3 linked regions of the Stegostoma tigrinum genome follow. The protein of the gene in region 3 interacts with the protein of the main gene of each other region in a pairwise test. Links are inferred from orthologs where the notes say so. Each region holds a gene or a part of one and is shown on either strand. Other genes may lie near its edges. The genes, in order: zdhhc22, nurim-like and trim59.

What was found.
Region 1: the proteins of trim59 (region 3) and zdhhc22 interact in binary tests that used the Homo sapiens proteins (3 or more experiments, as listed by UniProt). The link is inferred for Stegostoma tigrinum from reciprocal best matches to the Homo sapiens genes TRIM59 and ZDHHC22.
Region 2: the proteins of trim59 (region 3) and nurim-like interact in binary tests that used the Homo sapiens proteins (3 or more experiments, as listed by UniProt). The two-hybrid records come from large-scale screens. The link is inferred for Stegostoma tigrinum from reciprocal best matches to the Homo sapiens genes TRIM59 and NRM.

Annotation. Positions count from the first base shown.
Region 1 is NC_081363.1:775,618-786,685, forward strand, and holds the start of zdhhc22 (palmitoyltransferase ZDHHC22), read left to right. Parts: upstream 1-5,474; 5' UTR 5,475-5,600; intron 5,601-11,068. UniProt on the Homo sapiens protein: Palmitoyltransferase that could catalyze the addition of palmitate onto various protein substrates and be involved in a variety of cellular processes. Catalyzes the palmitoylation of KCNMA1, regulating localization of KCNMA1 to the plasma membrane.
Region 2 is NC_081387.1:14,530,851-14,541,815, forward strand, and holds the start of nurim-like, read right to left. Parts: upstream 5,551-10,965; 5' UTR 5,502-5,550; coding exon 5,345-5,501; intron 1-5,344.
Region 3 is NC_081367.1:27,477,472-27,488,449, reverse strand, and holds the start of trim59 (tripartite motif-containing protein 59), read left to right. Parts: upstream 1-5,316; 5' UTR 5,317-5,735; intron 5,736-10,978. UniProt on the Homo sapiens protein: E3 ubiquitin ligase involved in different processes such as development and immune response. Serves as a negative regulator for innate immune signaling pathways by suppressing RLR-induced activation of IRF3/7 and NF-kappa-B via interaction with adapter ECSIT.

The sequences.
Region 1 (11,068 bases), on a different chromosome or scaffold from region 3:
ACTATCTACAAGATGCACTGCCAAAGGACCCCAGCCAGCACCTTCCAAACCCACAGCCACTTCCATTTAGAAGGACAAAGTAAGCAGATACATGGGAACAGCACCCCCTGTTGGCTCTACTTCTGACTTGAAATTATATTGCCATTCTTTCACTGTCGCAAGAATAAAATCCTGGAATTTCCTCACTAAGGAACATTGAGGGTCAACTCACAGCAGGTGGACAGCAGCGATTCAATACGACAACCTACCACCATCTTCTCAATGGTAATTAGGGATGGGCAGGAAATGCTGGCCAGCCAGCAACACCCACATCCCACAAATGAATATAACACAGACTGATTATGGATGTGAGTTTGCTCGCTGATCTGGAAGGTTAGTTTTCAGACGTTTCGTCACCATTCTAGGTAACACCATCAGTGAGCCTCCGACGAAGCGCTGGTGTTATGTCCCGCTTTCTATTTATCTGGTTAGGTTTCCTTGGGTTGGTGATGTCATTTCCTGTTCTTTTTCTCAGGGGATGGTAGATTGGCTCCAAATCAATGTGTTTGTTGATGGAATTCCGGTTGGAATGCCATGCTTCTAGGAATTCTCGTGCGTGTCTCTGTTTGGCTTGTCCTAGGATGGATGTGTTATCCCTACACTACATTGGACAAACAGGCAGAAAGCTAGCCACCAGGATACATGAACATCAACTAGCCACTAAACGACATGACCCACTATCACTCGTATCCTTACACACAGATGAGGAAGGACACCACTTTGGGACAACACATCCATCCTAGGACAAGCCAAATAGAGACACGCACGAGAATTCCTGGAAGCATGGCATTCCAACTGGAACTCCATCAACAAACACATTGATTTGGAGCCAATCTACCATCCCCTGAGAAAAAGAACAGGAAATGACATCACCAATGCAGGAAATGACATCACCAACCCAAGGAAACCTGACCAGATAAATAGAAAGCGGGACATAACACCAGCACTTCGTCGGAGGCTCACTGATGATGTTACCTAGAACGGTGACGAAACGTCTAAAAACTAACCTTCCAGCTCAGCGAGCAAACTCACATCCAGAACCTCAACCTGAGCTACAAATCTTCTCAAAACTCACTAAGAGACTGATTAGTTATGACTGCATTCACTGGTATGTGGACAAATGAGGAGGGATCTCATTGAACTCTATAAAATTCTAACAGGTCTAGACAATGTAAACACAGAAGCAATGTTCCCAATGAATGGCGAGTCCAGAACCAGTTTAAGGATACGGGGTAAAATTGTGATCAGAGATAATGGGAACTGCAGATGCTGGAGAATCCGAGATAGCAAAGTGTGGAGCTGGATGAACACAGCAGGCCAAGCAGCACGTCAGGAGCACAAAAGCTGACATTTCGGGCCTAGACCCTTAACCCTCTCTGATGAAGGGTCCAGGCCCGAAACATCAGCTTTTGTGCTCCTGAGGTGCTGCTTGGCCTGCTGTGCTCATCCAGCTCCACACTTTGTTATCTAAGGATACGTGTTAGGCTGTTTAAGACTGAGATGAAGAGAAATTCCTTTGCCAGAGAATGATGACCCTGTGGAATTCTTGCCACAGAAAGCAACTGAGGCCAAAACATTGAATGTTTTCAGAAAGGAGATATTGTTCTTCAGGCTACAGAGATCGAACATTATGGGGCAACAGCAGGAACAGGGGACTGAGTAATATGATTGAACATGATCATATACAATATTGGAGAATATTCTATGCTCCAATATTCTATATTTCTACATTTGGACATGACACACTTCTGTTCCTAAACCGTTTTCTGTTCCTTATTTCTGTGTTTCTATGATAAGACCATAAGACCAGAAGACATAGGAGTGGAACAAAGAACAAAGAAAAAAGAAACCTACAGCACAGGAACAGGCCATTCGGCCCTCCAAGCCTGCGCCGATCAAGATCCTCTGTCCAACCTGTCATCTGTTTTCTAACGGTCTGTGTCCATTTGCTCCCTGCCCATCCATGTACCTGTCCAAATATATCTTAAAAGATGCTAACGTGTCTGCGTCTACCACCTCCGCTGGCAACGCGTTCCAGGCACCCACCACCCTCTGCGGAAAGAACTTTCCACGCATATCTTCCATAAATTTCCTCCTCTCACTTTGAACTCATGATCCCTAGTAATTGAGTCCCCCATTCTGGGAAAAAGCTTTTTGCTATCCACCCTGTCTATACCCCTCATGATTTTGTAGACCTCAATCAGGTCCCCCCTCAATCTCCATCTTTCTAACGAAAATAATCCTAATCTCTTCAACCTCTCTTCATAGCTAGCACCCTCCATATCAGGCAACATCCTGGTGAACCTCCTCTGCACCCTCTCCAAAGCATCCACATCCTTTTGGTAATGTGGCGACCAGAACTGTACACAGTACTCCAAATGTGGCCGAACCAAAGTCCTATACAACTGCAACATGACCTGCCAACTCTTGTACTCAATACCCCGCCCAATGAAGGAAAGCATGCCATATGCCTTCTTGACCACCCTATTGACCTGCGTTGTCACCTTCAGGGAACAATGGACCTGAACACCCAGATCTCTCTGTTCATAAATTTTCCCTAGGACTTTTCCATTTACTGTATATTTCCCTAGGACTTTTCCATTTACTGTATAAGTAAGAGGAAGTAAGGCCATTTGGCCCATCAAGTCCACTCTGCCATTTAAATCATGGCTGATGGGCATTTCAACACCACTTCCTTGCACTCTCCCCATAGCCCTTGATTCCTTCTGAGATCAAGAATTTGTCGATCTCTGCCTTGAAGGCATCCAACGTCCCGGCCTCCACTGCACTCCACGGCAATGATTTCCACAAGCCCACCGCTCTCTGGCTGAAGAAATGTCGTCTCATTTCAGTTTTAAATTTACCCCCTCTAATTTTAAGTCTGTGCCCATGGGTCCTAGTCTCCCTGCCTAATGGAAACAACTTCCTAGCGTCCACCCCTTCTAAACCATACATTATCTTGTAAGTTGCTATTAGATCTCCCCTCAACCTTCCAAACTCTAATGAGTACAATCCCAGGATCCTTAGCTGTTCATCATACGTTAAACCTACCATTCCAGGGATCATTCATGTGAATCTCCACTGGACACGCTCCAGGGCTAGTATGTCCTTCCTGAGGTGTGGGGCCCAAAATTGGACACAGTATTCTAAATGATACTAAAATAGTAAGTTGCAATGAAAAAGTGTATACGGAAAGGTTAGGTGAATGCATAGAAGTTTGCCAAATGGAGTTTAACAAAGAAGCCTACAGCACAGGAACAGGCCCTTCGGCCCTCCAAGTCTGCGCCGATCGAGATCCTCGGTCTAACCTGTAATCTATTTTCTAACGGTTTGTATCCATTTGCTCCCTGCCCATCCATGTACCTGTCCAGATATATCTTAAAAGACACTAACGTGTCTGCGTCTACCACCTCCGCTGGCCAGTCAGTACAAAGTCTCAAAGAAATGAAACTGGATGGATCACCTGGCATTGACCTGGGCACCAGAAAAGACAATGGCAGAAACAACCCTGTCAACCCTGCAAAGTCCTCCTCACTAACATCAGGGGGTTAGTGCCAACATTGGGAGAGCTGCCTCACAGACTAGTCAAGCCACAGCCTGGCACAGTCATACTCACAGAATCGTACCTTACTGACAATGTCCCAGGCACCACCATCACCATCCCTGGATATGTCCTGTCCCACCAGCAGCGGCAGACCCAGCAGAGGGGGTGGCACAGTGGTATACACTCGGGAGGGTGTTCCTCCAGGAGTCCTCAACATTGAGTCTGGACCCCAGGAGGTCTCATGGCTTCGGGTTAAACATGGGCAAGGAACCCTCTGGCTGAATATTACATATCCACTCACATACTGTCTTCCCTCAGCTGATGAATCAGTATTCCTCAATGTTGAACAACACTTAGAGGAAGTACTGAGGATGGGAAGGGCACAAAATGTACTCTGGGTGGGGGACTTCAATGTCCACCACCAAGAGTGGCTCAGCAGCAGTATTACTGATTGAGCTGGTCAGGACCTATCGGACAGAGCTGCGAGACTGGGTCTGCAGCAGGTGGTGAGGGAACCAACAAGAGGGAAAAACACACTTTATTTCATCCTTACCAATCTGCCAGCTGCAGTCGCATCTGTCCATGACAGTATCAGTAGGAGTGACCATTGCACAGCCCTTGTGGAAACAAAGTCCTGCCTCCACATTGAAAACAACCTCCATCGTGTTGTGTGGCTCGATCATCGTGCTCAATGGGGCAGACTTTGTACAGATCTAGCAACACAAGATTGGACATCCATGAGGCGCTGTGGGTGACGGATGTGTTGGAGATGGTCGAAGGTTGCAAGAACAGCAACTCATATTCCGCTTGGGAACACTGCAGCCCAATGGTGTCAAATGGATTTCACAAGTTTCAAAATCTCCCCTCCCCTCACTGCATCCCAAAACCAGCCCAGCTCATCCCCACCTCCCTAACCTGTTCTTCTTCTCACCTATCCCCTCCTCCCACCTCAAGCCACACCTCCATTTCTTACCAACTAACGTCATCCCGCCCCCTTGGCCTTCCGTCCTCCCCAGACTGACCTATCCCCTCCCTACCTTCCCACCCATACTCTCCTCTGCACCTATCTTCTCCTCTATCCATCTTCGGTCTGCCCCCCCACCCCTCCATCCCTATTTATTTCAGAATCCTCTCCCCATCCCCCTTTTCTGATGAAGGGTCTAGGCCTGAAACATCAGCTTTTGTGCTCCTGAGATGCTGCTTGGCCTGTTGTGTTCATCCAGCTCCACACTTTGTTATCTCGGATTCTCCAGCATCTGCAGTTCCCATTATCTCTGATCGCTATATTATCTTATATTCATTATTGTGTTATTGGCTGACGGCTGAAGTAAAAACAGAAAATGTTGGAGAAACTCAGCAGATCTAGCAGTATCTATACAGACAGTCCCATGGCACTTCTTCTAAAGAAGAGACAGACCAGACTTAAAACGTTAACTCTGTTTCTCTGTCCAGAGATGCTGCCAGGCCTGCTGAGCTTCTGCAACACTTTCTGCATTCATTTCAGATCTTCGGCATCTGCAGTATTTTGTTTTAATTCCCTATCTCATTAGCCTCTGTTTATCGGGTTAGCTGTACAGAAAATATGATGGAGACCTTTTTATATGACAGTGCCACACTCGTGATGTCATCTAGCTGTCTTAAAGGTATAGTACCTTAATAATATAGCATGATGGGCCAAATGGCCTTCTTCTCCATAGTATGATTTGATGACTCCATGGAGGTTATGAGATTCAACACTCTATGATAAAAATAGTAATACTAGAGACAGGATCACATTCCAAATGGAGACTGGAGGGATCTGTTTGAATAGTAGATTTGTGGCTTCGTTTGCACACAGTGACTGAAGCACAGGCTGTAACTGTGGAGGTTGCAGTTTGTGGTTACAGCCAGTTGGGGAGCACCGTAACACTGGGCCCAGGAGCAAGGACACAATCGCAGGGCAGGAGGTTCTGAGCTGCAGGGTTCAAACACAGACACCGGATCGGGGCACAGGATAACGAGCACATCTCAGATCCAGGTACTGCATCCACAACATCCATCAGCAAGAAGGGCAGTGAGAGCTCACAGCACCGTTATCACCACCGGTATTTATTCTTAGCTCTTTAGAAAGGCACAGTGCTTCACATCATCTTCAAAAAGACTGCTGTCTGCAGCACGGCCAGCGAGAGAACGAGAGAGAGAGAGAGAGAACAATAGAAGCAGTCTGATAAATGACAGGCTGACTGCAGTCATCACAAACAAAAATGAAGCCCACATGAAGGCAACCTCATGCAGAGAGGCAGAGGGAGAAAGGGGCCTGGAAAGATGAAGAGTCAGAGAGACAGAGAGAGAAATAGAGAGGGATACAGAAGAAACCGAGAGACAGACAGACATAGAAAATCAGAGATAGTGAGAGTTTGCAAGAAAACAGAGAGGGAGCCAGGGAGAGAGGCTTAGAGACATAGAGAAAGACAGACATGGGTCAAACAAGGTGAAATACTCAGCGAGCGACACAGACAGTAATACAGAGGGACATACAGAGAGAGACAAAGGCAGAAGACAGAGGCAGAGACAGAAGATAGACAGCAAGAGCAGGCACAGGCTGAGCACACAGGGTTACATGGACAAAGGGCACAGAGACAAGGAGAATGAGAGATAGAGAGAGACCCAGAGTAAAAGCAAGAATAAAACTTGTGAAAATAACAAAATAAAAAATGAATGTAGAGGATATACGATCAAAAGAGCAACACTGAGTGAAACAGAGTCAGCAAAGAGGCAGATAGAGATATGCTCAGCGTTATTGCATGTTCAGGATGTTTACCATTAATCACCTTCACTGTTAACCACTGTTTACCACACTCATTGTAAATCTTTAACCACACCCACTGTTAACAAGATTTATCATTAATCACAGTCACCGTTAACCATTCTCACTATACAGCCCTGCTCTCCAGTTATCTGCCTATAGTTCTCTCTGTCACTCTCTTTCTCTCCCTCCTTCAGTCCCTTTATCCTATCCTTGTACCTCACTGCAGGCTGATGCCAGCTTTTCTCTCATTACACACATTGTCAGTCTCTGAACTCACCCTAGTGTCTGTGAGATTCAGTGACTGTCTTCATTAGCAGTTTTCTCCACTGGACAGACAAGTTCCAGATCTTGGGAATCTGAATGGGGAAAGGGATGAGAGGGAGGTTGCGGTGAGGAGGGAGTGGCATTGGAGGAATGAAAGGAGGGTAGCCTTTCTGCCATCATCAACAGCTTCTCAGTTCGACAGGATGTGGGATAAGGAGGAAATAGATGTGAGAAGAAAGATTGGGAACAATGTGATGAGGGTATTAAATTTAGCCTTGTCCCTGGACTTGCCCTCGGCAATAGTCCTTTCATGGTGACAGACAGCATCTCTTTCATTGGGATTGGAGCAGGCCAGATGTCCCTCTCTCCCTTTGGATCATGCTGCCTTATGAAACCCCTACACTTGAGGAAAGAGGGACATGAGTCAGGGAGTGTGGAGCAATGTATTGGATACTGTGGCTGTCATGGTTGAATTTTTGATAGTGTGGGTACACTGGGAGCTGTGGGTGTGTGGCCTGTAACAATGTTAGTATTTAGTGGGGAGGTGAGAAACTGAATGAGCGGTGAAGGCTGATTGATCTAGACTGTTGGCAGCCAATGATTAAGAAGGTAAACTTGGCAGTAAATGGGTGTGATGGGTGCCGTTCTGTGGCTGTGATACATGAAGATAAATTGAATGGTATCGTCCACTCTGTGAAACAATTAAACATATCCAGCACCTTGGCCCGAGAGTCCAGCATTGATCTCCATGGCTATGGTTTCAACTGCTATCTCATTACGGCTGGAGGGTCTCTGTACCCCTGAGGATACAGAACCAGGATTCAAAGTTATGTAGGAAAACCTCAATGGGACAGGGTCTTTCCCACAGTTGTACATGATGCATCAAAACCTCCAGCAACCGTGATAAAAGCCAATACTGCAGCTGCTGAAAATCTGCAGTGATAACAAAAACTGCATTCAAGGTGAATGGAGTATTAAATAGAGAGGTCTTACTAAAATTATTTCTTGCCAGAAGTAAAGATATAACAGCATTGGAAGCAGTCCAGAGAACGTTGATACCAAGTATGGAGGAATTGTCTTACAAGGAAGTTCAGTAGATTAGGTCTGTACTTGTTGCAATACAGAAAACTGAGAAAACTATAAGATTCTTTGGACTTGAAAAGGTAGATGCGATGAGGTTGGTTCCCTTTGGGGGAAAGTCTCAGACCAGAGGGCAGAATCTAAGAATAAGGGATTGCTCATTTAAGATGTCCTGGGGAGGAATTTTGACTCTCAGAGGGTTGTGAACCTGTGGAATGTTTTACCTGAGAGTGCTGTTGAGGCTAGGGCATTGAGTTCAGTCAAGGTTGAGAGAGATTTTTAGTCAGTAAGGTGATGGGAGGTTATGGAAAAAGGGGAGTAAAGTGAATTTGAGGATTATGAGATCAGTCATAATGTGCATGAATGGCACAGCAGTCTTGATGGCCTGAATGGCCTATTTCTGGCCCTACATTTTATGGACTTGTACTCAGCAGTTCAGGGAGCTTCTATAATGAGGGGTGGAGATGTGAATGGCTGCTATTGTCTGAGAACAATGACAGTAGAACAAATATCAACGATAAAAGGAAATAAAGTGGGGTGAGACGTTGCATTTTAAAATTGTTTAATTCAGCATTGAGTCCAGAGGCTGTAATTTGCCTCATTGAAAGATGAGGAGCTGTTCCTCAAGCTTACATTGACCCTCACTGGAACACAACGGGAGGCTAAAGATTGAGAAGTCAGAGGAGAGCAAAATAAAGAATTTAAAATAATAGGCAATCAGAAGCTTAGGGTCACGTTTGCAAAATTAAAGACAGTATTCCACCAAGGGGCCTCTATTGATCTCTCCAGTGTTGAGGAGACCACATCATGAGTACTGCACACAGTTTTCTGAATTAAAAGAAGCATAAATAAATTGCTACTTCACCTTGAAGCAGCGCTTGGCACTTTGGAGAATGAGGAGGTAAAGAGCAGGAGTTCCATTTCCTGTTGTTGTTGGATGGTGTTGAGGGAGGGGAGGGATGTTGTTGGCAATGACAGGAGTGGACCAGGGCATCACGGTGGAAACCATGACTTCAGGATACAGAAAGGGAAAGGGGAATGGAAGACGTGGGTGGTGGTGCCATCAGGCAGGGAATGATACGTGTCTATGGGATCTTGCCTCTTATTTCAGTAACGTCAAATCCAGGCCCAATCCTGTGGGCAGGTTTTCCTCTACTGGATGGCCTCTGGATGCAGTAGGCATAGAGGGATGGCCTGGATCATGGCTCCCTGGTTAGTGCCCTCCAGATGGCAGACACACCTCTCCCCATCACTCTTGGAAACTGAAGACGAACTGGAAACCCCAGCAGCAGCAACAAAATTCTTCGGAGTCCAGTGTGTTGTCTATCTTGTGGAGGTTGGGATTCCCAAACATGTTTCTTGTAAAATGACCAGCCCAAGGAATGATGTTAGTTGATCAGCACACCAACTGGTGATGGTATTTTTGAACTCCATTTCTGATCATGCAGGCCCAGAGATTCTCTTTCGAGTGAGATTAAACACTGTAATTCTGTAGAATGCTTTTCTTAGCATCTGACAAATAGAAAGTTCTGGTTTTCAGAGAACTGCAGAGCACTTTTTGACACAGTTACGACCACAAATTTTACATAGACCAATATATGTAGATATATTGATTGGAAAGTGTAGTAGAAGTTTACAAGATTGTGAATGGCATGGATAGAATGCAAAGTATAAGGCTTTTTGTCAGAGTGGAGGGGTCAGTTAGTAGGGGACACAGGTTCAAGGTGCAAGGCGGGGGGGGGGTGGAGTTTAAAAGAAATGTGCAAGGCACGTTTTTCTCACAAAGGGTGGTGAGTGCTTGGAATACATTGCCAAAGGAGGTGCTGGAAGCAGACATATTAGCAACATTCAAAGAACAAAGGAAATTACAGCACAGAAACAGGCCCTTCAGCCCTCTAAGCCTGCACCAATCCAGCTCCTCTATCTAAACCTATTTTCCAAGGATCTGTGTCCCTCTGCTCCCTGCCCATTTATGTATCTGTCTAGATACATCTTAAATGCCGCTATCAGGCCCACCTCTACCACCTCCGCGGCAACACGTTCCAGGTGCCCCCCACCCTCTGCACCCTGGGAAAAAGCTTTTTGCTATTCACCCTGTCTATACCCTTATGATTTTGTAGACCTCAATCAGGCCCCCCCCCCCTCCCAATCTCCGTCTTTCTAATGTAAATAATCCTAATTTACTCAACCTCTCTTCATAGCTAGTGCCCTCCATACCAGGCAACATCCTGGTGAACCTCCTCTGCACCCTCTCCAAAGCATCCACATCCTTTTGGATTCAAGAACCACCTGGACAAATACATGAATAGGAAGGGAAGAGAGGGATACAGATCCTGTAAGTGATGACATTTATAGTATGGAAGAGCAAAATGTTTTTGTATGGGTTTGGACGGCTGAAGGGCCTGTTCCTGTGCAGTAGTTCTTTGTAAGTCAGATTAGAATGTCTGGTCAGCACGGACAAGTTGGATTGAAGAGTCTGTTTCTGTGCTGTACGAACAAAAACAAAGTTGCTGGAAAAGCTCAGCAGGTCTGGCAGCATCTGTGAAGGAAATAAGCTCTGAGGAAGGGTCACCAGACTCAAAATGTTAACTCTGTTTTTTTCTTCACAGATGCTGCCAGACCTGCTGAGCTTTTCCAGCAACTTCTGTTTGTGTTCCTGATTTACAGCATCCGCCGTTCTTTCAGTTTTTATGCTGTGCTGTATGACTCTGACAGATTAGCATGGAAAATTAAAGCACTTGGAATTGGGAGTAGCATACTGAAATGTGTTGAGAACAGGTTGACAGAAACAAAGAGTAGGCATGAATTCAGGGGAGGAGATGGCCCAGTGGCATTATTGCTGGACTGTTAATCCAGAAACCCAGGTAACATTCTGGGGACCTGGGTCCAAAACCTGCCACAGCAGATGGTGGAATTTGAATTCAATAAAATTCTGGAATTAAGAATCTAGTGATGACCATGAATCTGTTGCTGATTATCAGAAAACCGTACCTGGTTCACTTACTTTCCTTTAAGGAAGAAAACTGCCATTCCTACCTGGTCTACATGTGATTCCAGACTCCAAGTTGCCTGTTAACTGCTCTCTGGGCAAATAAGGATAGGTGATAAATGCTGACCTGGTCACAGCAATACCCTTGTGCCTTGAATGAATTTTAAAAATGGCTTTTTTTTCCCCCCAAATGACAGTCTAGGACCCCAGCTATTCATAATTTGTACATAATTATTTAGGAAACTACATGTCATATCTCCAAGTTAGTAGATAAGAAAAAGCTGGGTGGGAGGGTGAGATGTGAGGAGGATGCAGAGATTCATAGACTCCCTACGGTGTGGAAACAGGCCTTTTAGCCCAACAA
Region 2 (10,965 bases), on a different chromosome or scaffold from region 3:
ACCTCATCAAATACTGTTATACTTTCAAAAGCCTCTATTAGGCAAGCGTTCAGCTTTCCTGATACTGCAGAAATTAGTTCCAAGCTGTTCCATCCTTATGAATGCTTACATCCTATTGGTTCCTTGCAATTTATTTTGGACCTGTTTGTATTTCTTTACTCTATACACAGTGTATGACCATATTTTATATTAATGTAAATGACATGCACAGTGATGCAACTGTGAACTGGTTTTGTCCAGTGCGAGATTAACCCCTCAATAAGTCCCCACTCTGTGGTACTGGACTCAGCACTAGACTTGTTGTTGGCTTATGCCCAGCATTTTCTCTGCATTGCCTTGGTGCTCTATGTAGGCCATTTGGACGTGGAGCCTTTGGTCTGTAAATACACTGTGTTGTAAGTCATTCCCACACCACGTTGGACAAGATTTTAAACCTTTCTGTGGCCTTATATCTTCCCATCTCCATAAACTCAGCATCCCCCACAATACCCTCAAATCATGCTGGGAATGTGACTCTAGCCTCCTGTACACTCCCTTCCTTTCAGCCAAAATTGGTGTTGGGACTCACAGGTACAGAGCCCAATCCCCAAGATGCATTCAATGTCCTCTCCGTCACTGATTAAACATTCAATTACTCCATGCCCCACTCACCCACACACTGTTAAAGCAAGCATTTATTGTCCACCTCAAACTGCTCTTGAGATTGTGGTGGAGAACTGCCGCATTGAACTACCGCAGTCACTTACAATGCTGCTGGGAACGAGGTTCTCGGATTTTGATCAAGCGACAGTGAAGGACCGGCAATACATTTCCAGGTCTGGGTGTTTTGTGACCAGGAGGGGAATTTGCAGGCGTTGGTGTCCCCACGCATCTGCTGTCCCTGCCTTTCTAGCTGGTGGAGGTCACAGGTTTGGAAGGAGCTGCCAGAAGAGCCTTACTGAGTTGTTGTAGATGCTACACACTGCTGCCACTTTGCCTCAGTGGTGGAGGAAGTGAATGTTGAAAGTATTAGATGGAATGCAGATCGAGTGGGCTGCTTTGACAACAATAGTGTTGAGATTCTTGAGTGCTTCTCAAGCCCCTTCTTTGGCTTAATATCTTCTTGTTTTGATTACAATGAGGTTTGTTGTGTCATTCTTTTATGTCAAAGATGTAATATAAATATTGGTTATTGTTGTTGAAAACAACAGTTCTGAATCTATGTTATAGAACTGGTATACATTCCCCTTGCAATAGCAGTGTTGGTTCAACAATAGCCCAGTGCTGCCCTCTTCAGTATCTTATGTTCATTATCTGATATCGATAATGAGCCACACCCAACTTCAAAAGAGAGCTTCTTGAATTTTGTTGGACCTGCACCCACCCAAGCAAGTAGGGAGTGTTCCATCACACTCCTGAAATCTATCTTGTAACTGGTTGCCAGGCTCTGGGGAGTCAGGAGGTGAGTTACTCACTACAGGATTCCAGGCCTAAGACCTGCTCTTGCAGCCACAGTACTTACATGACGAATGCATTCCAATTCCTGGTCAATGGTAAACTCTTGGATTTTGATAGTGGGAGATGTAGTGATGGTAATTCCATCAAATGTCAAGGGATGATGGTTTGACTCACTCTTGTTGGAAAAGATCATTGTTTGGCACTTGTGGGGTATGATTGTTACTTGTCACTTGTCAGCCCAGGCCTGGGTATTGTCCAGGTCTTGCTGCAGTTGGGCTTAGACTGCTTCAGTATCTGAGGAGCTGTGAATGGTGCTGAACATTGTGCTATCATCGGCAAACATTCCCACTTCTGATAGGGGGGGATATCACTGATAAGTAACTGAAGATGATCAGGCCAAGACGCTACCCTGAGGAACCGCTGCAGAGATGTCTTGGAGCTGGGATAACTGACTTCCAGCAACCACAACCACCTTCCTATGCGCCCGGTATGAATCTAACCAGCAGATGCACCCTATTTATATGCAATGGCATCTAATCTGTGGTGTCATGGCCAGGGAGAGGGTCATGAAAGTCGAGAACATTATGAGATTCATGTGCAGTGATGAATGTTGAACTGATCATCACCATATCAATTACCAATAGCATCGAGCCCCATAGATAATGCAGTTGACCATGAAGATCCAGAAGTGTCTCAATACCTTGAGATGCAAACGCAGTATTGAAAGAACCTCACAGGTACGTCTTCTAGGTACAACAAAAGAGGAGATCCACTGCATTGAGGATGTCTGAGATGACTTTTGGGGATACAGTGTATTACTGCTTTTAGGGCCTTGGCCTTATCTCTTGTAAAGATTGAGATCTGATTTGATGGCTACAATCAGAAGATACTTGGAGGAGAAACAGCACCTGTAAAGGGTTTAGCTCAATGACAAGTCCTCTCCAAGCAAGAATCATGCAGATTGAAATATCTGTTGGACTGTCTGATGTAAATTCAGAGGGATGCAAGACAATTGGTTGAATTAGAAAGCAGACGAATTTCAGTCACATGCACATTTCAAAGACTGGGTGAAATGCTATAATGTTGGGGAGGCTGTCCACGAATGTGTGTCAGCAAATTCACGACCTATCATCGGTGCTGACAGGTCAACATAAAAGCAAAATACAGAGGATGCTGGAAATCAGAAACAAAACCTGGTGCTGGAGAAACTCAGCAACTCTGGCAGCAACTGTGGAGTGAGAGAGTTCTGTAGACGTCATATTTGTCTTGAAATATTAAACTGTTCCTCTCTTCACAGATGCTACCAGACCTGCCAAGTTTCTTTGTTTTTATTTCAACATTGCTGACAGTTTGGCTGTCAATAAACAACTCAATGTTGGCTAGCCTTGTGGTCTCCTAGTTCTACTGATTCTACACCTCCATCTTTGGTTGAATATCCTCTCAAACTAATGAAACAGTCTCATCTCTTATTAAGGGAGCCATCTCACCTACTTTTCTTTTTGTCTATCGCTTCTAAATGCCATATATCCTTGGATATTGAGTAGCCAACCTTGGTCACCCTGGAGCTACATATTCCCAGTTGCAAGTAGATCATACCCATTTATCTCAATTTATACAATCAAATAATCAACAGCTTTGACAACACTATGGGCACTCAAGAGTGCCTTTAATTCTGCTTTTTGAAAAAATTCTACTTGTATTTGATGCTTGTTTGTTATCTGTTCGGTGTTCCCTTGTAGACTGTGTCTGATATCTGTGAGCCTGACATTGGTGGTGGTGAAGTTGTTGGAGGTGATTCTGAAAGACACTATTTACATAAATTTGGAGAGGCAAGGAATGATTAGGCATTTCCAACATGGTTTTGTGCGAGGGAAACTGTGTCTCACAAACTTGTTCGAGATTTTTTTAAAGAAGTAGCCACTACGTTAGATGAGGGCAGTGTGGTAGACGTTGTTCACTTGGACTTTAGTGAAGTCTTTGATAAGGTTCCACATGGTAGACTAATCAGTAAAGTCATATCACATGGGATTAGGATTGTCTTGCCAATTGTATATGAAACTATCTTTACAATGGGAGATAGATGGTGGTGGCAGAGGGTTTTTTTTGTATGAAAGCCTATGACAAGTGGTGTTCCACAGGGACTGGTACTGGGCCTGCTTTTGTTTGTCATTCATATAAATGATATGGATGAGAATATAGGAGGTACAGTCGTAAATTTGCAGATGACACCAAAATTGTGGTATATAGATTAGTGAAGATGGTTATCTAAGATTACAAAGCGATCTTGATCAATTGGGTCAATGGGCTGAGGAGCAGCAGATGGAGTTTCATTCGGATAAATGCGAAGCACTGCGTTTTGGCAAAACAAACAAGGGCAGTACTTACACAAGTAATGATAGGGCCCTGGGGGTAGTGTTGTAGAATGGAGAGACTGAGCGGTCCAGGTAGTTAATTCTTTGAAAATTGTGTCACAGGTAGAGAGAATGGTTAAGGCATTTAGCACGCTTGCCTTCATTGCTCACACCTTTGTGTACTGGAGTTGGGACATCATGTTGAAGTTGTCCAGGACATTAGCAAGGCTTCTTCGGGAGTACTCTGTGCAGCCTTGTTGCCCTGTTACAGGAGGCATATTATTAACCTGAAGCCAGAAAGGATTAACCATGATGTTGCCAGGACTGGAGGGTTTGAGCATGTCTTTTTTAAGGTGAGAGGAGAAAGTTTGAAAAAGGACATGAGAGACAACTTTTTCTTTTTACACACAGCGTATGTTTGTGTGTGGACGAATTGCCAGAGAAAGTGGTGGATGCAAGTGCAGTAACAATGTTTAAAAAACGTTTGGATAAGTACATGAGTAGAAAAGGTTTGGAAGGATATGGGCAGAGGTACATGGAAATAGTTTAGCTTGGGAACATGATTGATGTGGACTCTTTGGGCTGAAGGGTCAGCTTCCATGCTGTACAAATCTATCTGCTTGGTCATGTCTCCTACAATTCAGTCGCATTATTGGGTGCCCCAATACTACCCTCCACAATACTGCTGGGTCAATGTCTGCTTTGTACTTGGTCAGTAGCTGGTGTTCCCTCAGTATTCATCTACACAGTACTGGAGTGTCATTGTGGGGTGATCCCTGCAGTAGGGTAAAGTCAGTGCCTTGTGTTTGTCCAGTGTCAATACTAGAGGGTTAGTATCTGGTATTCCCTTAGTCCTGTCCTCTGCAGTATCAGAGGATCAGTGTCTGCTGCCTCCCCCAGTATCACCCTGAGCAGTACTGGAGAATCAATGCCTGACGTTGCCCCAGTGTCACCCCCTGCAGTACTGGAGGGCCAGTGTATACTGCTCCCCACTGTCTCCCCCTGCTGTACAGGAGGGTGAGTGTCTGCTGCTCCCCACTGTTGCAGCACTTGAGGATTAAAGTCTGCTGCTCCAGAGTCACCCCATGCAATACTTGAGGATTAATGTCCGCTGCTCCTCAGCATCACCCCTGCAGCATTACAGAATCAATGTCCAGTGTTTTTCCAATGTCGCCTCCCTACTCTGCAGAAGTAGAGGGTCAGTGTCTGCTACACTCTCAGTGTTGGTTGCTGCAGAAATGGACGGTTAGCGTCTGCTACAGTCTCAGTGTCGACCCCTGCAGTACTGGAGGGTCCGTGCCTGCTGCACTCTCGGTGTCGCCCCCTGCAGTACTGGAGGGTCCGTGCCTGCTGCACTCTCGGTGTCGCCCCCTGCAGTACTGGAGGGTCCGTGCCTGCTGCACTCTCGGTGTCGCCCCCTGCAGTACTGGAGGGTCCGTGCCTGCTGCACTCTCGGTGTCGCCCCCTGCAGTACTGGAGGGTCCGTGCCTCTGCTCCACCTGATCCTGTGGTTCTGCCCAGGCCCGAGCCCGCCATGTTGCTGCCCACCGTCTTACCTGCCTCGGGGCCTGTCGCCGCCCCTCCCGGTCTCCTGCTCTCCCGGTAAATCTGCCGCAGGGAAACAAACGCCACGAACTCGGCCGCGCTCCACGAAACGAAAACAAAGTTGGCCAGGGACAGGCCGACAAGGGCGGCCGAATGTAACACGGTCATGGCATCGGAAGAGGGAACACTTCCGGGTCATTGGGTCGGGCGCGCCGGCCCAGTGGTAGCGGATGTGAATGTTAGGGGGAACTTTCATTGTCGCGGTGCACGCTGGATAGAGAAGCCCTCCATCACCCTGGCTCCTCAGGCAATAAGCGAAAAGGAGGAATATGGCGTTCCCGCCGTTAATTTTGGGAAGAAGTAAGAGACGACCAGTCATGGATTGAGAAAAGAAGAGAGAAAAAGACGGATGCTATGCTATTGAATTCTGTAAAATCCTGTGGTGCTTGACAGGGCAGGTATTACAATCGACGGCATCCGCTGTCGGGATCTCCCATTTATGGCAGAGATGAAGCGAAATTCTTTCTGGCATTGTTTTAAATCTGTGGAATTCTCTTCAACACGCCCATTGGCTGATCTGCTATCTTAATTCCACTTTGCCTGTGCTATATCTAAATCTCCCAATTAAATTGGTACCCCGAAAATCTTCTCCCGACATTTTGAACGCACTCGAGTGTCCACGGCTATTAGGTGTAGAGAATTCCAAAAATCCATAACTCCTTGAGTGAGAAAAATCTTTTCATCTCTGATCCATTTGGGCGTCCCTTATTTTGAATCTACTTATTATATTGAATTTGACATGCTAGTTGGTAAATATAGAAACAGGAGGTTTAAAGACAGAGATAGAAAATTGATGTAGGAGGGAAGATATCAGATTTCCCTAGCATTGGCCAATTGAATCATTTAGGATGAATGAGATGCATTTTAGCAGGACTGCACCGGGAGATTCGATAGTGCTGTTAGACAGGATTTGAACTAGATTGTTAAGGGAATGGGATCTGAGAGACAGTTCACATTTGAAGGGAAGCAAAGCTAATGAAAGGAAATATAAAAATGGAAAGTAAAATTGCAAATACATTAAGAATAGGCAAAAATAAAGAAAAACTTGGTAGAGCATAATGTAAGTAAAAGAGAATTAAAAGCTATTTATGCCTTACTCATCTTTAAGACAAAAAGCTGATGATTTGAAGGCACACAATGAGGTAAATTGGGGTGATATTATTGTCATTATAAAGCATAGCTGGTGACCAAGACTTGGAATTGAACATCGAAGATAGTGACATTTAGGAGGAAGAAGGAGAAAGGAAAAGGAAGTGGCGCTGCACCTTAATAAGGGCCTAGATCAGTACATTAGTATGAGCCATGACCACATTGAATGATAGTGCAGACTCAATGGATTGATGTTCTGATGTTAATTTTAGAGGACCTTAGATCAAAGCTGTAGAATCAGTTTGGGTGGAACTAAGAAACAGCAGGAACAGAAAGCAAAGGGTTTAAGGGTGCCAAACTCTTGTAGTTATGTTGGACACAGTATAAACCAGAAAATCATGGATTTATGTAACCTGTGTAATACAGCAATGATAATAAAATGTGAGGCTGGATGAACACAGCAGGCCAAGCAGCATCTCAGGAGCACAAAAGCTGACGTTTCGGGCCTCGACCCTTCATCAGAGAGGGTCTAGGCCCGAAACGTCAGCTTTTGTGCTCCTGAGATGCTGCTTGGCCTGCTGTGTTCATCCAGCCTCACATTTTATTATCTTGGAATTCTCCAGCATCTGCTGTTCCCATTATCTCGAATACAGCAATGAAAGGCGATTTCATGTGAAAAATAGATTGGGTGAATGAAGTCAGTGCTAATGCTGTGAAGAATGAATTGCTAGCGTGTGTATGAGATGGAGGAGTATATTAAGAAACCAACTATCAATTGGGATATTTTGTATTTAGAGCTGTGTAATAAAACAAGACTAATTAATAACCACACTAAAGGAGCCTTCGTGAAATAATGACTATAGTATGATAACATTTTGCATTAATATTTGAATGCAATACGGTTCTGAATCTCGGAGTTCAGTTATGAATAAATACACCGTTATGAATAAGTTGACTATGGTGGATTTTGAAAATATTTACAAAAGGATTTGTCAGTAGACAGGCAATGATGTCAACGTTTGCAACAGGTAAACTTTCCTGAATGGAATGAAACTGAAGGGTGTGTGGTTAATAAAAGAAGATAAAGATTGCATTAGATCTTTATAAGCCAAAGGAAGTGAGACATGGATGCTAGAAAACTGTGGCAAGACTAAGAATCAGGACCAATTTAGAACCCAGCAAAGGAAGAACAAATATTAAAAAAAAACTAAAAAATAATAAATGAAAATATAACAAGGAAGCTTCAAGAGAACTTGAACAGGCTGAATTAACGGGTATGACATGGCAGACAGGATATAATGTAAATGAGAATGAAGTTATTTATTTTAATAGAAAAAGGAAACAGAAAAGCAGAATATTTCTTAAATGGTGAGAGATAGGAAGTGAAATTAGAACATAGAAGATAGAACAGTGCAGCACCGTACAGGCCCTCCGGCCCACAGTGTTGTGCCGACCTATTATCCTACTAAGATCAATCTACCCCTGCATACCCTACATTTTACTATCCTCCATGTGCCTATTCAAGGGTCGCTTAAAAGTCTCTAAATTATCTGACTCCACTACCACTGCTGGCAGTGCATTCCACGCTCCCACTGCTGCAGACCTTGGTGTCCTTGTTTTTGAATCACTTCAACTTAGTGTATAAATGCAGCAAGCAATTAGGAAGTTAGTCTTCACTGTGACGGGATTTGAATGGAAGACTAAATATGTCAAGCTGCAGTGGCATAGAGCATTAGTGAGACCTCATCTGGAGTGTTGTGTACATTTTTGCTCCCTTAATCTAAGGAAGCATATATTAACCATAGAGGAACTGCAACAGAGGTTCACCAGATTAATCCCAGAGGTGGAGGGATTGTTTTATGAAGGCAAATTGAGGAGTTCTGACCTGTATTCTACAGAGGTTTGGGAAATTCAAACAAAACTTATAAATTTCTTACAAAGTGTGGCAGAATAGATGTAGGTAAGACGTTTCCCAGGGTGGTGAGTCTAAAATCAAAGGATGTAATCTCAGGATAAAGGACAGACAATTTAAAACTGAGATGAGGGGAAATTTTCTCACATGAAGGATGATAAAACATAGAGAACTATCAAATCTAATTACACGAAGGAGATGGAGAAAGAGAAGGAACAATGTCGACTGCTGTGAATGATCAGTCAAGATTTAAACAAATGGTGTAGTGGATTTGATATTTCCCAGAGGCAAGATTTAGAATGGGTTCAGCACAGCATTTTAGTTATTCTTTTAACCACAGAAAATGTTGCATCACTTGTATGCTGCCCAAAGGTAGTCCTTTGGCTCATTACCTGTTGATGCACCATTCTGAGTCGTTTCATGGCAGATTTTGTGTGGTGATGGATTTTCATTGTCTTTCATTTTAAGGGAGAGAGCCAGGGGGAATGCACCAAGTCTAGCTGATCTGGGGCAGGAATCAAATCTTTGTTTTTAGTGTTATTCTACACCGTGCATTTGCCATCTGGGCTGATCTCCCTGCTTAAGAAAGACAAAGAGGAAAAGAGTGTGTAAATGTTAGAAGGAATGTGGTGATGTAGTGGTAATGTCACAGAGAAATATTTGACAGCTAGGCTATCACAGTACATGAATGAACATAGACTTATAAATCTGAGATTAAAAAGCAGCATTTGATTGTTTAACACCCTGTCTAGTTCAGTAATGCACTGTAGAAAATGAAATCTATCATCCTGATCTGGTTTGGCTTATGTGTGAGTCCAGATCCACAACAATATGGTTGATACTTAACTGCCATCTGAAATGGTCCAGAGAGCAAATCTGTTGTATCTAACTGTGATGACTCTTCAGGAAAGGAAAACATAATCTGCACAGGCCACCAGCATTGATCTAGGTACAGAACTGACATCAGAACCAGCCCTGACAACTCTGTAAAGTTTTCCTTGCAAAATCTTGTGCCAGAATTGGAACAGTTGTGCCAAAGACTGGTTGACATACTGTCTGACTAGTCAAATTCATGGAATCATACCTTACAGGCATGATTTCAGGCACTACCATTATCATTCTTGGGTATTTCCTGTCTTGCCAGCTGAATAGACTCGTTGGAGGTGGTGGTACAGTAGTTTACGGTTGGTATAATCTTACCCTGGGACTCCAAAATACTCAATCCAGACTTCATGAAATCTCACGTTATCAGGTCAAACAATGGCAAGGAAATCTCCTTCCTGTTACAATCTGTCTCTCTCCTGTCTCCCCTCCTTGCTTAATGAATTAGTACTCCTTGATGTTGAACACTAATTGAAAGAAGAAAGAGTTGCACTTGAAGTGGTGGGGGAAGGTGATTGATGCAGTGGTGGACGAGTTTAATGTCCTTCATGATGAGTGACTTGGTAGCACCATTACTGACCAAAACCTAAAAGGACACCACTTCTAGACTGGGTTGTATCAGGGAAATAAATACAGCAAAAACTTTATACTTAACAATCTACCTGTTACAAATGCATCTGCCCTCGACAGTGTTAGCAGGAATGTTTGCCACAGAGTCCTTGCAAAGATGTAATTCTGTCTTTTGTTTTCATTTTGTGTTGTGTGGCACTGCCACCATGCTAAATCGCTTGGAATTTGAAGAGATCTGGCAACTCAAAACTGGATATCCCTGAGGCACTCTGAATCCTGCTTTTGCAGAATGCCCAATCAACCACACAATGTATTGTCATGGCTTGAGATATTCCCCCATTCCAGAAACGTGATCAAGCTGGGGGACCAACCCTGCTTCATTGGAGAATGCAGGATGGCATGCCAACAGCAGCACCCAGGCATTTCTAAAAATGAAGTGGCAACGCATTCATGCTAAAATACTTGCACTTTAGATGCAACTTATGATAGGCAGGGCTAAGTGACCCTACAACCAACATATCAAACCTATGTCTAAAGCCCTGCCGCATCCATTTGTAAATTATGATGGACATTCAAACAATTCTCAATAGGAGAGACTGCAAACTACCATGTCCTCAATGTTGAGAAGCCTAAATCATTAGTGTAAAAGACAAGGCTGAAGCATCTGCATCCAACTTCTGCCAAAATTGCTGAGCGTACAATATGTCTGTTCCTCATGAGGTCCTCGGCATCACAAAAGCCAGTCTTCAGTTAATTCGGTTCACTCTACATGACATCAATAAACAGCTGCAGGCTTCAGATATTGCTCAGGCTGTGGGCTCTGGTAATGTTACAGAGAACTTGCAATCCAGAATTTGTCGCAGTGCTGGACAAGCTGTTCCAGTGAAACTACAAAACTGCAAATTACCCAACAATGTAGAATTTTTCTGGTATATCCTGTCCAATAAAAGCAGGTCATCTAACCAATTGCCATCCCATCATGTTACTCCTGATCATCAGTGTAGTTCTGGCCGGGATTGTGGGTGGTATTATCAAGCAGACTCACACGGCAATAACTTGCTTCATGATAATTAGTTTTGGTTCAAGACATTGACACAGGCACGATCAAACATGGACAAA
Region 3 (10,978 bases):
CTGGTCAAAACAACAAAAAGGGTGATAGCTGTGACACCACAGCCCTTCCACTTCAAAGACTCCAGATGTTGCTTCTTGCCAGATCTGAGGGACTACCATAACCGGATGATAACAAAATTGGCGGTATAGTGGACAGCAAAGAAGGTTACTCAGAGTACAACAGGACCTTGATCAGATGAGCCGAGGAGTGGGAATTGGAGTTTAATTCAGATAAATGTGGGATGCCGCATTTTGGAAAGGCAAGTCAGGGCTGGACTTATACATTTAACTAGATACCCTACAATGTGGGAACAGGCCCTTCAGCCCAACAAGTCCTAGGTGCGTTGCCAAACAAAGAGACCTTGGAATGCAGTTACATAAAGGAGTCGCCGGTAGACAGGGTAGTGAAGAAGGTAACACAGTGTGGAGCTGGAGGAACACAATAGGTCAGGCAGCATCAGGGGAGCAGGAAAGCTGACATTTTGGGTCAGGACACTTCTTCAGACTCTTTTTCTGATGTGGGGTCCCAACCCAAAACATCAGCTTTCTTGCTCCTCTGATGCTGGCTGGCCTGCTGTGTTGCTCCAGCTCCGCACTGTGGTATCTCAGACTCCAGCATTGGTAGTTCTTACTAACACATAGTAAAGATGTTTTGTATGCTTCCCTTTGTTGGTCAGTGCATCGAGTATGGGATTTGGGAGGTCATGTTGTGGCTGTACAGGACATTGGTTAGGCAACTTTTGGAATTATTTGTTCAGTCTGGTCTCCCTGCTAAAGGAAAGATGTGGTGAAACTTGGAAGGATTCAGAAATGCTTTACAAGGACGTTGTCAGGATTGGAGGGTTTAAACTATGGGGAGAGGCTGAATAGGCTGGGGCTGTTTTCCTTGGCATGTGGAGGCTGAGAGGTGACCTTAAAGAAGTTTATAAAATTGTGAGGGACATAGGTTGGGTTATTAGTCAAGGTCCTTTCCCCAGACTAGGGGAGTGCAAAACCAGATGACACAGATTTTAGTTGAGAAGAGAAAGATTTTAAAAATGCCTCAGGGGCAACTTTTTCATGGAGAGAGTGGTATATGCGTGGAATGAGCTGCCAGAGGAAGTGGCAGTGGCTGGTACAATTACAGCATTTAAATGGTATATGAATAGGAAAGGTTTAGAGGGATATGGGACAAATGCTGGCACATGGGACTAGATTAATTTAGGATAGCTGGTCGGCATGGTCGAGTCAGACAGAAGGGTTTGTTCCGTACTGTACATCTCTATGACTGTTTGACATCTGTAATTGTTCCAAACTCTACACTAATCTTTTCTTTCTCTACAGATCCGCCTGATCCGCCGAGTATTTCCAGTGAGCTTTTTTTTAAATTTCAGATGTCAAGCATCCAGAAAATATCATTCACGTTTGCTTGCATCTCCGGAAACGATACCAAACCATTCACTTCCTTGTTAAATCAGAAAGCTGTTGTTCATATTGGAGTTTTCCGATTCTACTGCTTCAAGCCGTTGACGTTATGTACTCTCGAGGGTTTGATTGAGAGAAGATAATCAAAATTGTGACTTCTTTTGACAGACAAACCACGAATTATACCTATCCGCTCAGGTAGAAATTTCGGAGTTAACCAAGACCTAAAACGGCCCAAAATCCTCGGATGCAGAGGTTGTTAGTCAGTGAAAAATGACGCTTTTCAAAGTCACTTTTTCGATAAACTGTAAAACACCGTCGTTACAAAGGAAACCTAGAAAATACAGAACTGTAGGTAGTCCATTCATTCCGCTAAGCCTGCTGCTGAGGCTGCTTATACACTACTGTAGTTCACTGAACATCAATAAAGTCTGAAAACGATTAAAGGATGCTCAAAACAGCAGAGTACCTTTGCGTAATTAGGTGAGGAAAGCCAGCAAAGCCAAAATAAAACTCCGCTAGCTTAATAACCTTGCAAATAATGGGCAATCCTTTTCAATTCTGTCTCCATTCGATTATCAAGGAGATTTGAGAGTGAATTATTTGTTCATAACACCTGAGACCACTATGGATGAGGATAAAGCCTCGCGCTTCCCAGCTCAATTAAACAGTACTCTTTCGATAAATACATTGGTACAAAGGTTTTTACTCACACAGCAGCTTAAGAAGAGGCAAATAAAAATGCAGCTGGAAATTAGATTTTCTACTATTAGAAATGTAACAAGATTCCAGCCCCTGCACGTTTGAGAGCTGTGTCTGTATGATGTAAAAACTGAAACTGCTGGAGAATCCATATTGAAGAGAGAAACAGAGTTAAATTTCAAGTCCAGTCTGACGCTTCTTCAATATTTGTGTGAGTGATTGGCTACAAGCCCCACTATAACATTTCAAAGCTGAGGTTCCATCGGGAGATATGCCTTTGTGATCAAAACGAAACACGTGTGAAATATAAATTCCCATCAGAGTGCAGTAGCAAGCATAACATTGCTAAATAACATAATATTTAAACATAAGATACCGCTAGCGAGTTTTGAGAAGATTTGTAGCTCAGGTTGAGGTTCTGGATGTGAGTTTGCTCGCTGAGCTGGAAGGTTCGTTTTCAGACGTTTCGTCACTTTTTTTATTTGAAAAAATATACTTTATTCATAAGATGTACAAAAAATAAAACATATTTATACACACCTACCCAGTCATGCAAGCCACTCCGGCTTACCCAGGGGGTACGTACACCAGCTAAAGGCAAAAAACAAACAAAGAAGAAAAAAAACAAAGCAAAGAAAACACCCCGGCAGTCGTCTCCCCGCACAGTTCCCGTTGGCCCCCTGGCCAGTTGGGGAAGGCGCCAGCTGGGCCCAGTTACCAGATAGGGTTCTTTTTCCTATTCTGGACAAGGGGTTTCATACCGTGGTCTTTCCCCACCGCGCCTTGGCGGTGGCTGCCCCAAACTTTAGCGCGTCCCTCAGCACGTAGTCCTGGACCTTGGGGTGCGCCAGTCTGCAACACTCGGTTGGGGTCAGTTCGTTCAGCTGGCAGACCAGCAAGTTGTGGGCAGACCAAAGAATGTCTTTCACCGCATCGATGGTCCTCCAAGCGCAGTCGATGTTGGTCTCGGTGTGCGTCCCGGGAAACAGCCCATAGAGCACGGAGTCCCACGTCACGGAGCTGCTCGGGACGACCGACCTCACCATCAAACCCGCAGACAAGGGTGGCGCAGTGGTAGTATGGCGCACTGACCTCGACATCGCCGAGGCCAGACGCCAACTCTCCGACACCACCTCCTACCACCTCCTCGATCATGACCCCACACCCGAGCACCAAACCATCATCTCCAACACCATTCACGACCTCATCACTTCAGGGGACCTCCCACCCACAGCCTCCAACCTCATTGTTCCCCAACCCCGCACGGCCCGTTTCTATCTCCTTCCCAAAATCTACAAACCTGCCTGCCCTGGTCGACCCATCGTCTCAGCCTGCTCCTGCCCCACCGAACTCATCTCCACCTATCTGGACTCCATTTTCTCACCTTTGGTCCAGGAACTCCCCACCTACGTCCGTGACACCACCCACGCCCTCCACCTCCTCCAGGACTTCCAATTCCCTGGCCCCCAACACCTCATATTCACCATGGACGTCCAGTCCCTGTACACCTGCATTCCGCATGGAGATGGCCTCAAGGCCCTCTGCTTCTTCCTGTCCCGCAGGCCCGACCAGGCCCCCTCCACCGACACTCTCATCCGCCTAGCTGAACTCGTCCTCACACTCAACAACTTCTCTTTTGACTCCTCCCACTTCCTACAGACTAAGGGGGTGGCCATGGGCACCCGCATGGGCCCCAGCTATGCCTGCCTCTTTGTAGGTTACGTGGAACAGTCCCTCTTCCGCACCTACACAGGCCCCAAACCCCACCTCTTCCTCCGGTACATTGATGACTGTATCGGCGCCGCCTCTTGCTCCCCAGAGGAGCTCGAACAGTTCATCCACTTCATCAACACCTTCCACCCCAACCTTCAGTTCACCTGGGCCATCTCCAGCACATCCCTCACCTTCCTGGACCTCTCAGTCTCCATCTCAGGCAACCAGCTTGTAACTGATGTCCATTTCAAGCCCACCGACTCCGACAGCTACCTAGAATACACCTCCTCCCACCCACCCACCCTCCTGCAAAAATTCCATCCCCTATTCCCAATTCCTCCGCCTCCGCCGCATCTGCTCCCACGATAAGACATTCCACTCCCGCACATCCCAGATGTCCAAGTTCTTTAAGGACCGCAACTTTCCCCCCACGGTGATCGAGAACGCCCTTGACCGCGTCTCCCGCATTTCCCGCGACACATCCCTCACACCCCGCCCCCGCCACAACCGCCCCAAGAGGATCCCCCTCGTTCTCACACACCACCCTACCAACCTCTGGATACAACGCATTATTCTCTGACACTTCCGCCATTTACAATCCGACCCCACCACCCAAGACATTTTTCCATCCCCTCCCCTGCCTGCTTTCCGGAGAGACCACTCTCTCCGTGACTCCCTTGTTCGCTCCACACTGCCCTCCAACCCCACCACACCCGGCACCTTCCCCTGCAACCGCAGGAAATGCTACACTTGTCCCCACACCTCCTCCCTCACCCCCATCCCAGGCCCCAAGATGACATTCCACATTAAGCAGAGGTTCACCTGCACATCTGCCAATGTGGTATACTGCATCCACTGTACCCGGTGCGGCTTCCTCTACATTGGGGAAACCAAGCGGAGGCTTGGGGACCGCTTTGCAGAACACCGCCGCCCAGTTCGCAACAAACAACTGCACCTCCCAGTCGCAAACCATTTCCACTCCCCCTCCCATTCTCTTGATGACATGTCCATCATGGGCCTCCTGCACTGCCACAATGATGCCACCCGAAGGTTGCAGGAACAGCAACTCATATTCCGCCTGGGAACCCTGCAGCCATATGGTATCAATGTGGACTTCACCAGTTTCAAAATCTCCCCTTCCCCTACTGCATCCCTAAACCAGCCCAGTTCATCCCCTCCCCCCACTGAACCACACAACCAGCCCAGCTCTTCCCCCCCCACCCACCCACTGCATCCCAAAACCAGTCCAACCTGTCTCTGCCTCCCTAACCAGTTCTTCCTCTCACCCTTCCCTTCCTCCCACCCCAAGCCGCACCCCCAGCTACCTACCAACCTCATCCCACCTCCTTGACCTGTCCGTCTTCCCTGGACTGACCTATCCCCTCCCTACCTCCCCACCTATACTCTCTCCACCTATCTTCTCTACTCTCCATCTTCGGTCCGCCTCCCCCTCTCTCCCTATTTATTCCAGTTCCCTCCCCCCATCCCCCTCTCTGATGAAGGGTCTAGGCCCGAAACGTCAGCTTTTGTGCTCCTGAGATGCTGCTTGGCCTGCTGTGTTCATCCAGCCTCACATTTTATTATCTTGGATTCTCTAGCATCTGCAGTTCCCATTATCTCCGAAAAGAATATGATCGCCAAAAATTTTAGCGTTTACTAGCTGCACTGTTGGGTGTGCCCGCTTGCATTCCGCCAGGATTTACTGAAAACTGTTTGAAAGCTTCATAACAATTTTGAAAAATTCAAATCCGAGCGGCTCCCTCGACTATTCGCTGCTTTTTGAAGAAGGGGTTTTCCAGACATGCGCTGTGTGAATTACCGAGCTGGAAGATTGAAGGGTTAGCTGGGCCAAGCAGCAGAAACTCGGCTTCGTTCAATGTTCTCTTCAGCCGCCAGGAGAAACGTGCCCCAGTCCCGCCGCGTGTTCATTTTGCCTGGTGAGTGGTCTCTCTATTGTCCCTTGATTTCCTATAGGGAGGGCTGGCAGCGAGAGCCAGCTACAAGCCATCCGCTTCATGGTTAGGCCTTTATAAAATCAAATGTAGAATAAAGATTTCGCAGTTCGAGTGCACCTCCTAATTCACCGCGAACCCGGGAATCATGAGGAAACTGACTCTCACTTGTAATGACCACTGAGCGGGAAATGAGCCGGGGCAACATTAACTCCAACATCGTCCCCCTCCAGATAAATAACAAAGCAGATTGGCTCCGTTTGGGTGAAATCGACACTAAGAAACGGACAAAAAAAACCGTTTTTTTCTTTAAATAACATTTACTGAAAATCGGTCGACCATCTTTCCGTGTTTGATAGAATCCCAATTTGAGATCTGAACTATGAGAAAGCTAAAATAAATGCGTCAATTGCATTTCAAACCTTTCTGACAGTACCCTGAAAACAAAAACTAAAACCAAAGTGGCATGAAAGCCGGTGATCTGCCTGTTTCACTGTCATTGTTTAAAAAAATATCGTATGCAACTAGTGACCTACAACAAATATTGTACAAAAACATTGTTGTGGGTGCAGTATTTAGCACAATATGTTAAAACACCGCTCTCAGCATTTGTTACGTTTTTACCTCACTGTGGTTCATTCTTATTTAAAATTAATGAACTGTTTATAACCAAATTAACACTTTATTGTGTAGCTTGATGTGATAGATGTGTGAAGTTGAGAAGAGATATCTATGAAATCTTGCCATTGAAATCATTTGGGGTAAACATTGACGTTGACGCTTGAACACTTTCCATTGCGGCATATTTGTTTACATATTCTCTCAATTTCTTCAAACAATGAATGAAATGAACTGTTGTAATCTTTGTAATTCACTTGGAAAGATCAGCTGTTATAATGCCTATTTGGGATTCCATTGTGTAAAGCTGTTTTCTGTGATGCCCTTATGACAGTCAAGACATCCTCAGCCTGGCTTTAGTTCTTTCCCTACACAGTTGCACTCGAAGATATTCTGCCATTTCTATCAGATTGAGATTTCTATAACAAGAAGTCTACATTGATATGAATTTCAGATGGTGCAGATTCTGTCCTCAAATGAATTCTTCCTTTGTGTCTGCCAGATACCCTGGACCATAAAAGGGATTAATTGCAAGCTCTCTAGCTTTTTATTAATTCCTTTTCACAGTACAGTGATCCTCACACAAAGGGAATGTTGAAATAAAAGCAAATCATTTTATTATTTTAAATAAGTCAGCATAAATTAAAACAAGAAATAAAAGTCTTTTTAAAATAATTATTTTCCTGTTATCAACATGGGCATGTCACCTTTCCTGAAGAAAAAATGTTTTGATGAATGTATACCCCATAGATTGCAGCAGATCAAAATCATTCGTCGCCACCACCTTGTTGAGGGCAATTAGGGAAGCACAACGACTGCTGATGTAGCAGCAATACCCACATCCAGGGCAATAGCAACAAAATCTGGGAAATATACTTGTCACAGTGACCAATAACAAAATGATGCCACTACATATTTTGGGGTAAAATGGCATTGGAATGCAAAAATATTAATAGATGAAGCAATAGTTAATGAATTTACTTGAGTGACTACATCGCTTTGTGTGTCAGATTTAAAACTATCAACATTTGTAGGTTTCTAAGTTTTGTTCACTCATAATTGATAAAAAGTCTTTGTTTAGAAAACAGGTCAAATCCATAGAAATACATAGAAACTTCTGATCAAAATTTGAATGCAGTATTTCCAAACTCTGTAGCCTTAACATGATAACATTCCACTACATTTCAGTGCTGTCATGTAATTTTGTTTTGCTGTTCTTTTGTTGTTTACCCAACATTCTGTATGTTGGTATATGAAACAGATTAGCACCTAGTTATATTTGTAGTTCAATTTCCAGACAGATAATACTGGATAAGAAATGGCCCCTCAAGAGAAAGCAAGTTATCTATTTGCCTTTATTGTTTCTATATGAAGCTGCCATTATCATCAATTTCTCAAACTCAGTTTTGAAATTCTGTAAACCTAATCTTATTTGGGAAAGCTAGATTCTAATAGTAATTTCTAGCAACAAATTTGTGAAACATGGAAATTGACGTTTTCCTAAAATGACAACATGTATTTGCACATTCAAAATTAATGACAGAAAAATAACAACTGAGAAAATGTTACTCAAATTTGTGAATTGCCTACCAGTTATTGATTTAAGCAACATTTGCTTTTCAGCAATTGCTACTAAAATTATATTACTGGAAATTCTATTGGAGGTTCACTAATTGACAACAATATTGACAAAGCAAGCAATATATTTGGTGACAAATCTGTGCTTTGTTGGTATTGTGGCTACAATTGACTTCACCTTACTATTGAGCCAAGGAACAAAACATTGCCATGCTTTGTTGTGAAGTGTGAAAGTCTAGGAGCATGGCAAGAATTTGTCCCTGTGAACTCATATTCCAGATGTGCGCTCAGAACCCAGGGGATAATTTGTTTTGTAATTCTGCATGTGTTACAAAATATCTGTTGGGCAACAGTTTCCTTGTTATGTCTTTATTAGTTTATCCTACATCATGATTTACTTGTAACAGTATAATTACCATCAACTGATTTTAAAAAAAATAGTTGACCTGAAAAGGCTAAAATGTAGCATTTATTCCATATACAGGGGTCAGTAATGGAGAGAGAAACGGTTTCTCACAGTACTTTATACAAGTTTATGCTGATTTAGCCTATTGAATTTATTGTGACAAAGACACATTTTAAGTGATATTTAAAATCTAAAGCAACATCAGGCCTTCTAGTGATTAATGTGATTGTATGGTAAAACTTTTCAAAAGAACTTAACTGATCCTTTGAAATAAAACCTTCACAGACATGCATAAAGTACACAGTATTGCATAAATAGAACATCTGAATTATTACATAAAATGCATGAATTTTACAAGTGGCTGATCTACACCCAATGGACATCAAGCAACGGTTTCCAAGCAATTTTGGTAGCCTCAAGTACGTGCATTCCTACAATGGCCCATTCAGGAACAATTTTGAATGCAGTTGATGACCAGGATGCAAACTGTGCCAAAAATTACACTGGGTGTTGAGAAGTGTTTTGTTTCTCTATCAATTTTCAGTTGAGTTTTATTTAAGTATCACCATACCTGAAATCTGCCCTGTAATTTAGAACACACTTTGAACCCTGGGTGATTTGGTGATGGAGGAAAAATAAAGTTTGGAATGTGTAAGGACACTTTTAGAAATAAGGAGAGAGAAAAAGAAAATAAAAAAAACAGAACCCACTTTGATTTTAAAAAATATTCCTTGCTATATGAAACAGAGACCTGGACTGTTACTCCAGAGATTGATTCAAATCCTACCATGACAGCTCGTGAATTTAAATTCGATGAAATAATGAATTTGAAATAAAATATTGGTCTCATGAATTGATCAGAAACTATTTGATTATGCTTAAAAACAAAACTATCATGTTCACCCAAACCCTTCATGGGAGGAAATCATCTGCCCTTATCAGATCTGGCCTATCCATGATTACAGACCCACAGCTAGGTGTTGACTTTTAACTGCCCTGTGAAATGGAATAGCAAAATACTCAGTTGTATCAGTCAGCTACAGACTGCACTGGGAGTGGCTACAGCACTGGTTCCTTACAAGCAGAGAAAAGAAAAATTATAATGGGGAATAAGGAAGGGCAGTGCCGTGAAATATATATTTTGTTTTCACAGGAGAAGATACAAGGTGTATATCAGGTGTATATAGGGGGTAACTTAGGGACTAAAAAGAAAGTGAGTCTTTAGGTAATTAATATCAAAGATAAATTACTTTAGTTACTTGAGGAATTAACATCTGACGTCCCATGGTATTGATGGCTTACACCCTTGGATTCTCATAGAGGTAGTTGCAGAGATAGTGGATATGTTAGCTATGGCTTTTCAAAATTTCTTAGATTTGGGAATAGTCCCATCAGATTGGAAGTTTACAAATATAGCATTGCCTTTTAAGAAATGAGGGTGATACAAACCGGGAACTACAGGCTGGTTGGTCTCATCTGTCATTGGAAAATGCTGAAATGTGTTGTTAAGAAAGTCTGAACAATGAACTAAGAAAAACAAATCATGCCTTTTTTTTAACTGTCAAGATGAGGAAGGATTTCTTCTTTCAGGAGTTGTAAATCTATTGAATTCTTTGCCATAGACAGGTGTTGGAACTGGATCATTAAGTATATTCAAGGTTGAGATAGTCAGATTTTTAAGCGGGAAGCGATTCAAGATTTGTGGGGAAAAGGCAGGAAAGTGAATGTGGGGACTATCAGATCAGCATGATATTATTGAATGGTGGAGCAGATTCAATAGGCTGAATGGTCTACTTTGTATTAATGTCTTATGATTCTGCTGAAATTTATTTATGTATTGTGATGAAGTGTGTCATTTATATGTACACTTTTTTAAAGAGTTTGAATTTTAAACCAGTGAAGATGTTTAATAATCAGATGTTTAACAAACTCTGACACCTTTCAGGAACCATGATTTTAAGCTGCTATGTGCCTCCAGGAGTGTGAGTGAAAATTGCTTTGTATTGTGGGGATTCATGACAGGAGACAGGACACATTGAAAGATGTTAGCTTGGTTATGGGTTTAGAATAATCAAGAATTAGCCTCATCTTAGAAAAATCCAGAGGTTTCAAAACCTCTGTGTGCAGTTTGCCCATCCTCCCCATGTCTGTGTGGCATTCCTCCCACAATCCAAGAAATGCAGGTTGGGTGGATTGACCATGGGAAATGCAGGGTTGCAGATGGGGGGAGGGGTGGGGAGGCGTTGGTCTGGATGGGATGCACTTCAGAGGGTTGCTGTGGCCTCGATAGTATGATTGGCCTGCTTCCACACTGTAGGGATTCTATGAAAAAAATAGCCATGAAGATTGAGAGCAGAGCAGTAATTTAATAGGACTTTAGTAAAACCTTTGACAAGGCTCCACATGGTTGACTAACTAGTAAGGTTAGATCACATGGGATTCGGGGTGAGTTTACCAATTGGATACAAAATTGGCTTAATAGCAGGAGACAGAGAATGATGGTGAAGGGCTATTCTTCCAACTACAAGCCTGTGACCAGCAGTGTTACATAGGGATCAGTGCTGGATCCACTTTCATTTGTCATATGAATTATTTAGATGAGAAGTGGAGTGGAAACGCAAGATCA